Linked DNA regions of Oryctolagus cuniculus. Each later gene encodes a partner of the first gene's protein in a complex. Links are inferred from orthologs where the notes say so. Each region holds a gene or a part of one and is shown on either strand. Other genes may lie near its edges. The genes, in order: APAF1 and CASP9.

Region 1 (4,574 bases):
TCTCTCTCTCTCACTGTCCACTCTGCCTGTCAAAAAAAAAAAAAAAAAATTCATCTAAAGAAGGTGAGGCACTTGAAGGTGTAAGAGCAGTTTATTTAAACAGTAAATCCAGTACACCTAATTACATAAACAAGTATCACCTGAGTAAAACATACTTTTTTTTAAGAAAAAGAACGTATAATAATCAACATTTCACTTTATTTTAACAAATTTTTTATGAACTTCAAGAAATACACGACCTGGGATGAGTCACCAGTAAAGTATGATTCAAAATGTGCTAGCATCAAAAATGTTTTAGATTAGAGGAACTTCAGGGTCTCTGGAAGAGTAACAACTGTTCCTAAATATCTTACAAATTGATGAAGAAAGGTAAACTCTATTAATCGTACCGTGTCAGTCTTGCTATTAAAATGAGTTAGATTATTCCTAAAGAAAATAGGTTAAGTAAAATAAATAGCTTCCCATGGTTGTTTCCAATGTTAATTTTTCCTAACAACAACTGTGTTGGGTGTAAGGCTATATATTTAGTCTCAAGTAAACACAAGCGCTCTGTTTTTGTAGTTTTACAATGCATACAGAAGTTTAACCTGTAATTTAGGAAGACTTTAAATTCACAACGCATGCACGTTGATCGAAATAGGAGAAATCCTTCCAACTCTGGAATCAGCTAACACTGCTGCTTTGAGATAATGAAATCTAAAGGTTACAAAGTTCCCATTAGGCATCTATGGGGCAAATGTGACCGGCACCCAGCGCCCACGAGTAACGGTTTACAGCAACGTCAAAGATCAGGCGCCTAACGAGGTTTGTCCTTAATCTGCAGACCTCAGAGGCACGGCCCCGGGGGTCGCGGCTGGGGGACCAGCAGCCGCCAGCATGGGGGCTGGAGGTTAGGGGGATGCCCGGTCTGGTGGAAGGATCAGGGGCTGGACTCCGATGAGCAGGGCGACCACAGGAGGCCGGACACGGCCCGGGTGGCTCCGCGTCCACTTACCAGGCCAGGCCCAGGCACGTCCCCAGCGACAGGAGGCTCAGGCCCGTCCGGGGGTCTGCCCAGCCCCCGCCTCGGCCGCCCTGGGCCTCTGAGCTTTGGCCGCCCTCGCTCCGCTTGCCGGGGTCCGCGAGGGCTCCCTTGGGCCCAGATTTCTTCCTGTTCTTCACCTCGGACATGTCTGGAGGCCCAGAGGACACACCCGGGGCGGCTTCTTCAGCCGGGGGGAGCAGGACTTGGCCGCCTTTGCCTCGCCGGCGGTGAGCGCGCCCCCGCACAGCCTTGGCGCCGCCCAGAATCCAGTCCCTTTTCTCTCCCAGCCATCCTGCAGCTCCACAGTCTCCCAGACTCCCGCCTCCCAGCTCCCTCTGCTGAGGCGGAGCCCCACCTCCCCCTTCCTCGGCGTCACCGCGGCTGACCAGAGGAACCCCAGCTCCTGGGCGCGCGCAGGGACCCGAGGGCGTGGAGCCGGGCGGGGCCGCGCGCGCCACGTCAACGGCACGGCCGCCGTCGCCGTCTAGGTCGGCTCTGGGTAGCAACGCGGCGCGCCCCTGTGGCTTAGTCACGCCTCCCCACGTAGAGTGTGGGGCGCGCTTCCCTACGTGCGCGTGCACCTCCCCGTACGCGCCCGGGCACAAGCCGGGCGGGGGCGCGCGCGGCGGCAGCCGCCTCGAGGGACTAGCGGCGTGTTTATTTGCATGCGCGGGGGCGCGCTGATCCAGCGGGGCGGGCCCGGCGGGTGTTTGACTGCTGGTCGGTCCTGAGGCAGGAGGAGGTAACGATTGGTGTGAAGTGCGTGTCCTGGGGCAGAAAGAAGGGCTGAGGGAGCCGGAGGCGGGGAGGCCGGGCCGTCGGCGACCCGCGTGGGGCTTGAAGTAGCCGTAGTGGCGTCCAGAGTGGTGTCGGGCTCTCCCGGGTGCAGCTGCCGCCCGAGGGAAAGAGCGGCAGCTCGGCTGGCCCTCCTCCCTTTGTGTCCCGGGGCGGGGTCCGCCCCGCGGGTTTTCCTGCGCTCGGGGTTGCGAAGGCCCAGGTGAGGCACCTGCGCGGCTGATGTTCCTTGGGGCGTTGGGGACGTGGACAGCTTGTGCCCCGCTTCTTGCGTTCCCGGTGGGAAGCCCCACTGCCACTGGCCGCACCCGCGATGAGATCTCTGATCAAAGGTTTGCGTAAGTTGACCTGCTCGATGTTCTGAGCCAGGTAATTTTAGCAGATTTCAGGGTCTGAGGGTTAGGGGACAATGAGATCTTTAGTAATCCTTTATCTTCCTTAGCAGGAAGAGAAATTATCTAATGAGGAAGTAGTAAGCTACAGGGTTCCTGGATGAATTTGCTCTCGACTTTGTATTTTATGTCAGTGAAAAGTTTTGGCTTTCCATTTTGATGTGATTGTAACGGGTGGGACAGAATATTTCACTTGGGGCAAGTGTACGGTGTACAAAATTTAAGTGTAATATGGATAGGTGGAATTGGGAATTAGTCGCAGCAAGCCTAACAAGCGACTGTTTGCCTAGACACTAAAGTGAAAAATTTCGTTTTTGTTTTGTCAAGTCCATTGCAATGAATAGAGGAATTTTCTTGTTTAAATTAAGAAAGTAGAAACGTTGTTTGAAGATATGAAGGCCTTGATTCTCATCGTATCTGTCAGTTAAGTTTCATGGTGGTCCTGGGCGTTTTGTGATCTTGGACAACACAGACAAATGCCCTACTTCCTTAATTTTGCAAGTGCTACAGTTGGTGACTTTTAAAGATTATGGTCATCATTGAAGCTTGATGATTATTGCCCCTTTTCTGTGTGCTCTAAATTACTTGTGCTTAATTCCGGTTTTGCACTTAGGACATAAACTTTCTAATTATTTGCTCTCGTTTTCTTTTCTTCTGTGTTGTGAATTCTTCTAGAAACAGTCTGAATTGAGTTTTATACTCATGGAAAACTTCATGTTCTACTTGACATAAAATTGGTAGAAACTTAAAGTATTTACTGCAAAGAATATTGTTCTTTCTTAATTCAAGAAATCTGCTTCAAGAATCGGTATTCAGTACCAACAATGCTCTGTTTGGTTTTATGTTGGATAAAGAAAATAGGAAGTTTGAAACATTAGGACTTCAATATGATCACTATTTTTTAAATTAATTTTTAAGGTCCATGTGAATGTGTTTATTTTATTTGTAAATGCAGAGAGAGAGAGAGAGAGAGAGAGAGAGAGAGAGGCCATCTTGTGGTTCACTCCCCAAATGCCTGCAGCAGTTGGGACTGTGCCAGGCCGAAGCCAGGAGCTCAGTCAGGGTTTTCCAAGGACCAAAGTTCTTGAGGAATCCAAGTACTTGAGTCTTCACCTGCTGCCTCCCGGGTGTACATTAGCAGGAAGCTGAATCACTAGCAGAGCTGGGACTGAATCCTGGGCACGGCTATGGGATGTGGGCTTCCCAAGTATCCTCTTAGCTGCTCTACCAAATGCCCACCTCTATTTTATAAAATGCTAATTTATAGTAGGAATATTTTTATTGTTAAAAATGGTGATGTGGGGGCAAGCGCTGTAGCGCAGCAGGTTAAAGACCTGGCCTGCAGTGCCCACATCCTGTGTGGGTGCCAATTTGAGTCCTGGCCATTCCACTTCCGATGCAACTCCCTGCTAATGTGCCTGGGAAAGCAGCGGAGGATGGCCCAAGTGCTTGGGCCTCTGTGCCCACGGGGGAGACCTGGAAGAGGATCCTGGCTCCTGGCTCCTGGCTCCTGGCTCCTGGCTTGGCCAGCCCCAGTTGTCCTCAACCATTGGGGGAGTGAACCAGCAGATGGAAGATCTCTCTTTCTCTGTGTGTCTCTACCTCTCTCTGTAACTCTGTGTGACTTTCAAAAAATAAAGTAAATCTTTAAAAAAAAAGGTAATGTGTATTGAAAAAATTAAGACAGTAGAGAGAAGAAAAGAGTGTGGCTCCAAATCTTGCTCCTCAGAAGTAGTCTAAACATTTTGATGAATAAAATTCTAAGCTTCTTCCTATATTTTTCTGTACCAATACATTTTCTTGTTATTTATAGGATCATATTTTTATTTTTCAATCAATGTGTCATGAGCATCTTTATATTCAGTGCATGTATAATTTTAAATATTTAGCGCATTTATAATTTTAAATGGCTATATATTATAAATATTATTTATTTAATGTTTCATTATGTAGCATACTTTTTTAAAAAAGATTTGTTTATTTGAGAGGCAGAGTTACAGAGAGAGAGACGGAGAGCAATCTTCATCTGCTGGTTCACTCCCCAAATGGCCACAATGGCTGGAGCTGGGCCGATCCGGTCAGGAGCCAGGAGCTTTGTCTGGGTCTCCCATGGTGCAGGGGCCCAAGGACTTGGGCCATCCTCTACTGCTTTCCCAGGCCATAAGCGGAGAGCTGGATCAGAAGAGGAGCAGCCAGGACATGAATCGGCACCTATATTGGATGCTGGGTGGCAGCAGAGGCTTAACCTACTACGCCACAGTGCTGGCCCCAATGTAGTATAGTTTTTTAAATTGTATTTATTTTTATTTGTTTGAAAGGCAGAATGACTGAATAAGCAAGCACGTGCAAGAGATCTTCCATCT
Region 2 (3,804 bases), on another chromosome or scaffold:
CCAGGAGCTGGGAGCTTCTTCCAGGTCTCCCATGTGGATGCAGGGGCCCAAGGACTTGGATCATCTTCTACTGCTTTCCCAGGCCATAGCAGAGAGCTGGATCAGAAGAGGAGCAGCAGCCGGGATTTGAACTGGCACCCATGTGGGATGCCGGTGCTGCAGGCTAGGGCTTTAACCCATTGTGCCATAGCACTGGCCCCATGGTCCACTTTGGATCCACCTCCCTGCTAATGCGCCTGGGAAAGCAGCAAAGGATGGCCTACGTGGGATACCCAGAAGAAGCTTCTGGCTCCTGGGTTTGGTCTGGCTCAGCCCTGGCCATTGCAGCCATGTGGAGAGTGAACCAGTGGATGGAAGACCTCTCTCACTCCCTCTCTGTAACTCTGCCTTTCAAATAAATAATAAATATTAAAAAAATAAAAAATTCAGTTAGTACTCAGACTCCCCAAGTGCTCAGTGGCCATGTGTGACTACTGGCTGCCATGTTGGATAGCACAGATGCAAACCATTACCACCATCATGGACAGTTCTGTTAGTACTACTGTAGGATATTTGGGGACAAGGTGGTGTCTTGTCTCTGTGGATCCTGAGGCCCTTGTCCAGTGCTGGGTCCCCAAGGACAGGCAGCAAGAAATCAGCATCTTCCTCCTGCTGCCTGACCTAGTGGCCCTGCCCCTGACACTGTCAGGCAGCCTTGACCACTGCCCCCTCTTCTGTCCACCCAGTGTCTACGTCATGTCGAGTCAACCTCTTTATATGAGGGGACCTTAAAAGTTCATGGAAAGTGGAACTAAAAGATACGTTTATTTTGGTGCAAAAAATAAAATTGAAATCCAAGCACATGAGAGGTCTTCAGAAAGGTCATGGAAAATGCATACGGTGAGGAAACTGTGCAGTTTTCACAGTTCTGAAACCCACTGCTTTGCCGTAGCTCCTCACAGCTCCGAGGATGCATTTCTTAGCATGGCCACGCCAAGGCCTCTCCCTCTCCGCGGCCCGCCTCCCTTTCTTTGAGTCATTATTTGCTTCCTGGTGTTCCTTGGGGTCCCCTTGGTGGTGGCGGTGGTGGGGGCTTGCCTGACTGCCCCGGCCAAGTCCGTTGGCACTGAGCATTTTCCTTCCTGGCCCTTGTCTCCTTGCTGTGTCCTTGCTGATTTGTCTACACCCGCGCTAAACACTGGCTTTTCAGGACTGAGACCTTGCCCTGCCGTCTTTAGCATTTAGCACAGTGTTGGGCACGCGGTAGATGCCTCTGAAACAGAGCAGAGGCTGGGGCGGGTCCCTCGCTCAGGGTACCCTAGGCTCTGTTTCTACCCATGTGTCCCAGATGGGAAATGGGGCGACAAGGAGAGAAGCAGGTGGCACTAAGTGGGTGACTGCGTCTTGTCTTTCTTTCCAAACAGCACGCGGGGACTCGCCGGGATCAGGCCAGGCAGCTGGTCATAGATCTGGAGACCCGAGGGAGGCAGGCCCTTCCTTTGTTCATCTCCTGCCTGGAGGACACTGGCCAGCACACACTGGCTTCTTTCCTGCGAGCCAGTAGGCAGGAACGGGACCCCGAGGCCATCAGACCTCTGCCGCTGACACCCTTTGTGCTGGGACCAGTGGGCCTCCAACCAGAGAAGCCGACAGCGGTGACTTCGCAGGCGGCCCTGGGAAACCTCTCCCCGGTGGTGCTGGGGCCTGAGGAGCTATGGCCAGCCAAGCTCAGGCCAGAGGTTCTCAGGCCGGTGGACTCCAGTTCTGGAGGATTCCGTGATGTCTGTGAGTATCGATGGAGTGTTTGTTGGTTGGGTGTGACTGCTGGTACAGCTGGGTGGGCTGGGGTTCAGAATTTAATTTTGCTATTGTCTTATGGAACATTATGTGGGAGATGGGTGGAACATTCTGGTAAGTCATCAGGAGCGGTAACTTTGGCAGCCCCTCCTCAGAAAAGCATGCGCCCAGGTCTGTTTTGGGTGTCCCAGGTTTTTGCCAGTGTTTCTAGATCCAGCTGTTGTGCAGGATTGGCCTCTGGATAGCTTGGAGTGGCCTGTTGTTGCTGTGGATTCGTTCTGAGAGGTGAAGCGGTGGGGACAAGAGGCATGAAGTCACCACACAGACCCCGGGAGTGGGCCAGAGGCAAGCAACCCGCAGACTCATTTATTTCAGTTGGTGCAGCAGCTTATGCAGCTGAGGCAGCCAATCCGGTCAAGGGGCGGTTTATGTCCTAACCAATCACTGTCTATTGCCAGGCAGGCTCCATTGCCAGGTGGGTTCCGAAGCCATTTCCTGAGTAACTGACACTTGCTAGCCAGCACCATCTTGACACGGCCTTCTCATTCCACCACAGCCCGTGCCTGGGGCAGGAGGGAGGCCTCAGCTCAGAGTCTGCTCCCTGTGTGCACCTGCAGAGTACATCCCCCTGCCCGCCTCCCTTGTCGGGCAGCAAACCGGGGCTTAGGAGGCGGAAGTCAGTTACTTAAGGTCACAAGGCCACATCCGGCAAAATGCATGAGTCCCGAGAGCAGAGTTGGATGATTTTAACCGACGGGCACTCCCAGGTCAGCAACACCTGGGTCATCCCAGTGTCCTCCACAGCTCTTCCTCCTAGTCTGTTCCCACTCCCCGCACCCAAGGGAGTCACTGTTCCCGTCTCTGTCTCCTTGAACTTCCGAAGGAATGAAGTGCTGCCATGTGCACTCCAGAGTCTGGCTGCTTCCGCCCATCCTTGCTCTGGGGCACGCGTCCACGTTGTTGTGCATAGTGGGTGTCCATTCTTTTTCACTGCTAGGTGGTGGTGGGGTTCCTGTTCTGGATACTGTTCTGCTGATGGACCTGGGTGGTTGTCAGTAGCACTTGGCTTCCTTGGCAGCGCGGGGAGATCTGGGGCTGCTCGTTTCCTGGTTGCCCAGTGGGCCGTCGTGCGGTACTAGCAGGGGTAGTGGTTAGCAGTACTGAGTATCTACTGCAGATTGAGCAGCCCTTGTCTGAACTGCTGGGACTGGAACTGTTTCAAATTTCTCATTTTATTTTATTTTTAGACAAAATGGGATGTCTTGGGAATGGGGCCCAAATAAACATGAAATTCATTCATATTTTCATAAATGCCACATAGTCTGAAGGTATTTTTTTTTTAATTTTATTTATTTATTTTAGAGGCAGAGTTACAACGAAGGGGAGAGACAGACAGAAAGGTCTTCTATCCACTGGTTTGTTCCCCAAGTGGCTGCAATGGCTGGAACTGGGCCAGTCCGAAGCCAGGAGCTTCTTCCAGGTCTCCAACACAGGTGCAGGGGCCCAAGCACTTGGGCCTTCTTCTACTGCTTTACCAGGCTATAAGCAGAGAGCTGGATCGGAAGAGGAATAACCGGGACATAAACTGGTGCCCATATGGGATGCCGGCACTGCAGACGGGGGCTTAGCTCACTATGCCACAGCACTGGCCCCATGAAGATAATTTTATACAGTGTCATTAGTGTGGTTACATTTTGATAGTGATCCGTTGCGGGAAGTCAGGTGTGAAATTACCGCTCCGGTGTCACGTCAGTGAGTTTTGGGTTTTTGGGTTAGGGATGTTCAAAGCGCTTACATAAATGATCTAATCAATCTCCCAGCTCTCTCTCAAGGCCTCCCATGTGGATGGCAGGGTCCAAATACTTGGGCCATCCTCTTCTGTTTTCCCAGGCATATTAGCAGGGAGCTGGATCAGAAGTGAAGCAGCGAAGACTTGAACCAGTGCTCATATGGGATTCTGGCATTGTAGGCCATGGCCTAACCTGCTGTGCCACAGTGCCAGCCCATGGGCCCAACGCCACTTGGGAC

Evidence for each region.
Region 2: the proteins of APAF1 (region 1) and CASP9 are in contact, whole or in part, in a crystal structure (PDB 4RHW), measured with the Homo sapiens proteins. The link is inferred for Oryctolagus cuniculus from reciprocal best matches to the Homo sapiens genes APAF1 and CASP9. Residues at the interface, in NP_863651.1 of Homo sapiens: Thr22, Ser23, Tyr24, Met26, Asp27, Ile30, Ser31, Ile37, Glu40, Glu41, Arg44; in NP_001220.2 of Homo sapiens: Asp23, Trp26, Asp27, Leu30, Arg36, Pro37, His38, Glu41, Gln44, Arg45.

What each region holds. Positions count from the first base shown.
Region 1 is NC_091442.1:101,568,858-101,573,431, forward strand, and holds the start of APAF1 (apoptotic protease-activating factor 1), read left to right. Parts: upstream 1-1,515; 5' UTR 1,516-1,766; exon of another isoform or gene 1,767-2,188; intron 2,189-4,574. Other genes in the region: IKBIP (inhibitor of nuclear factor kappa-B kinase-interacting protein), read right to left, coding at 995-1,170. UniProt on the Homo sapiens protein: Oligomeric Apaf-1 mediates the cytochrome c-dependent autocatalytic activation of pro-caspase-9 (Apaf-3), leading to the activation of caspase-3 and apoptosis. This activation requires ATP. Isoform 6 is less effective in inducing apoptosis.
Region 2 is NC_091438.1:154,083,148-154,086,951, forward strand, and holds part of CASP9 (caspase-9), read left to right. Parts: intron 1-1,403; coding exon 1,404-1,764; intron 1,765-3,804. UniProt on the Homo sapiens protein: Involved in the activation cascade of caspases responsible for apoptosis execution. Binding of caspase-9 to Apaf-1 leads to activation of the protease which then cleaves and activates effector caspases caspase-3 (CASP3) or caspase-7 (CASP7).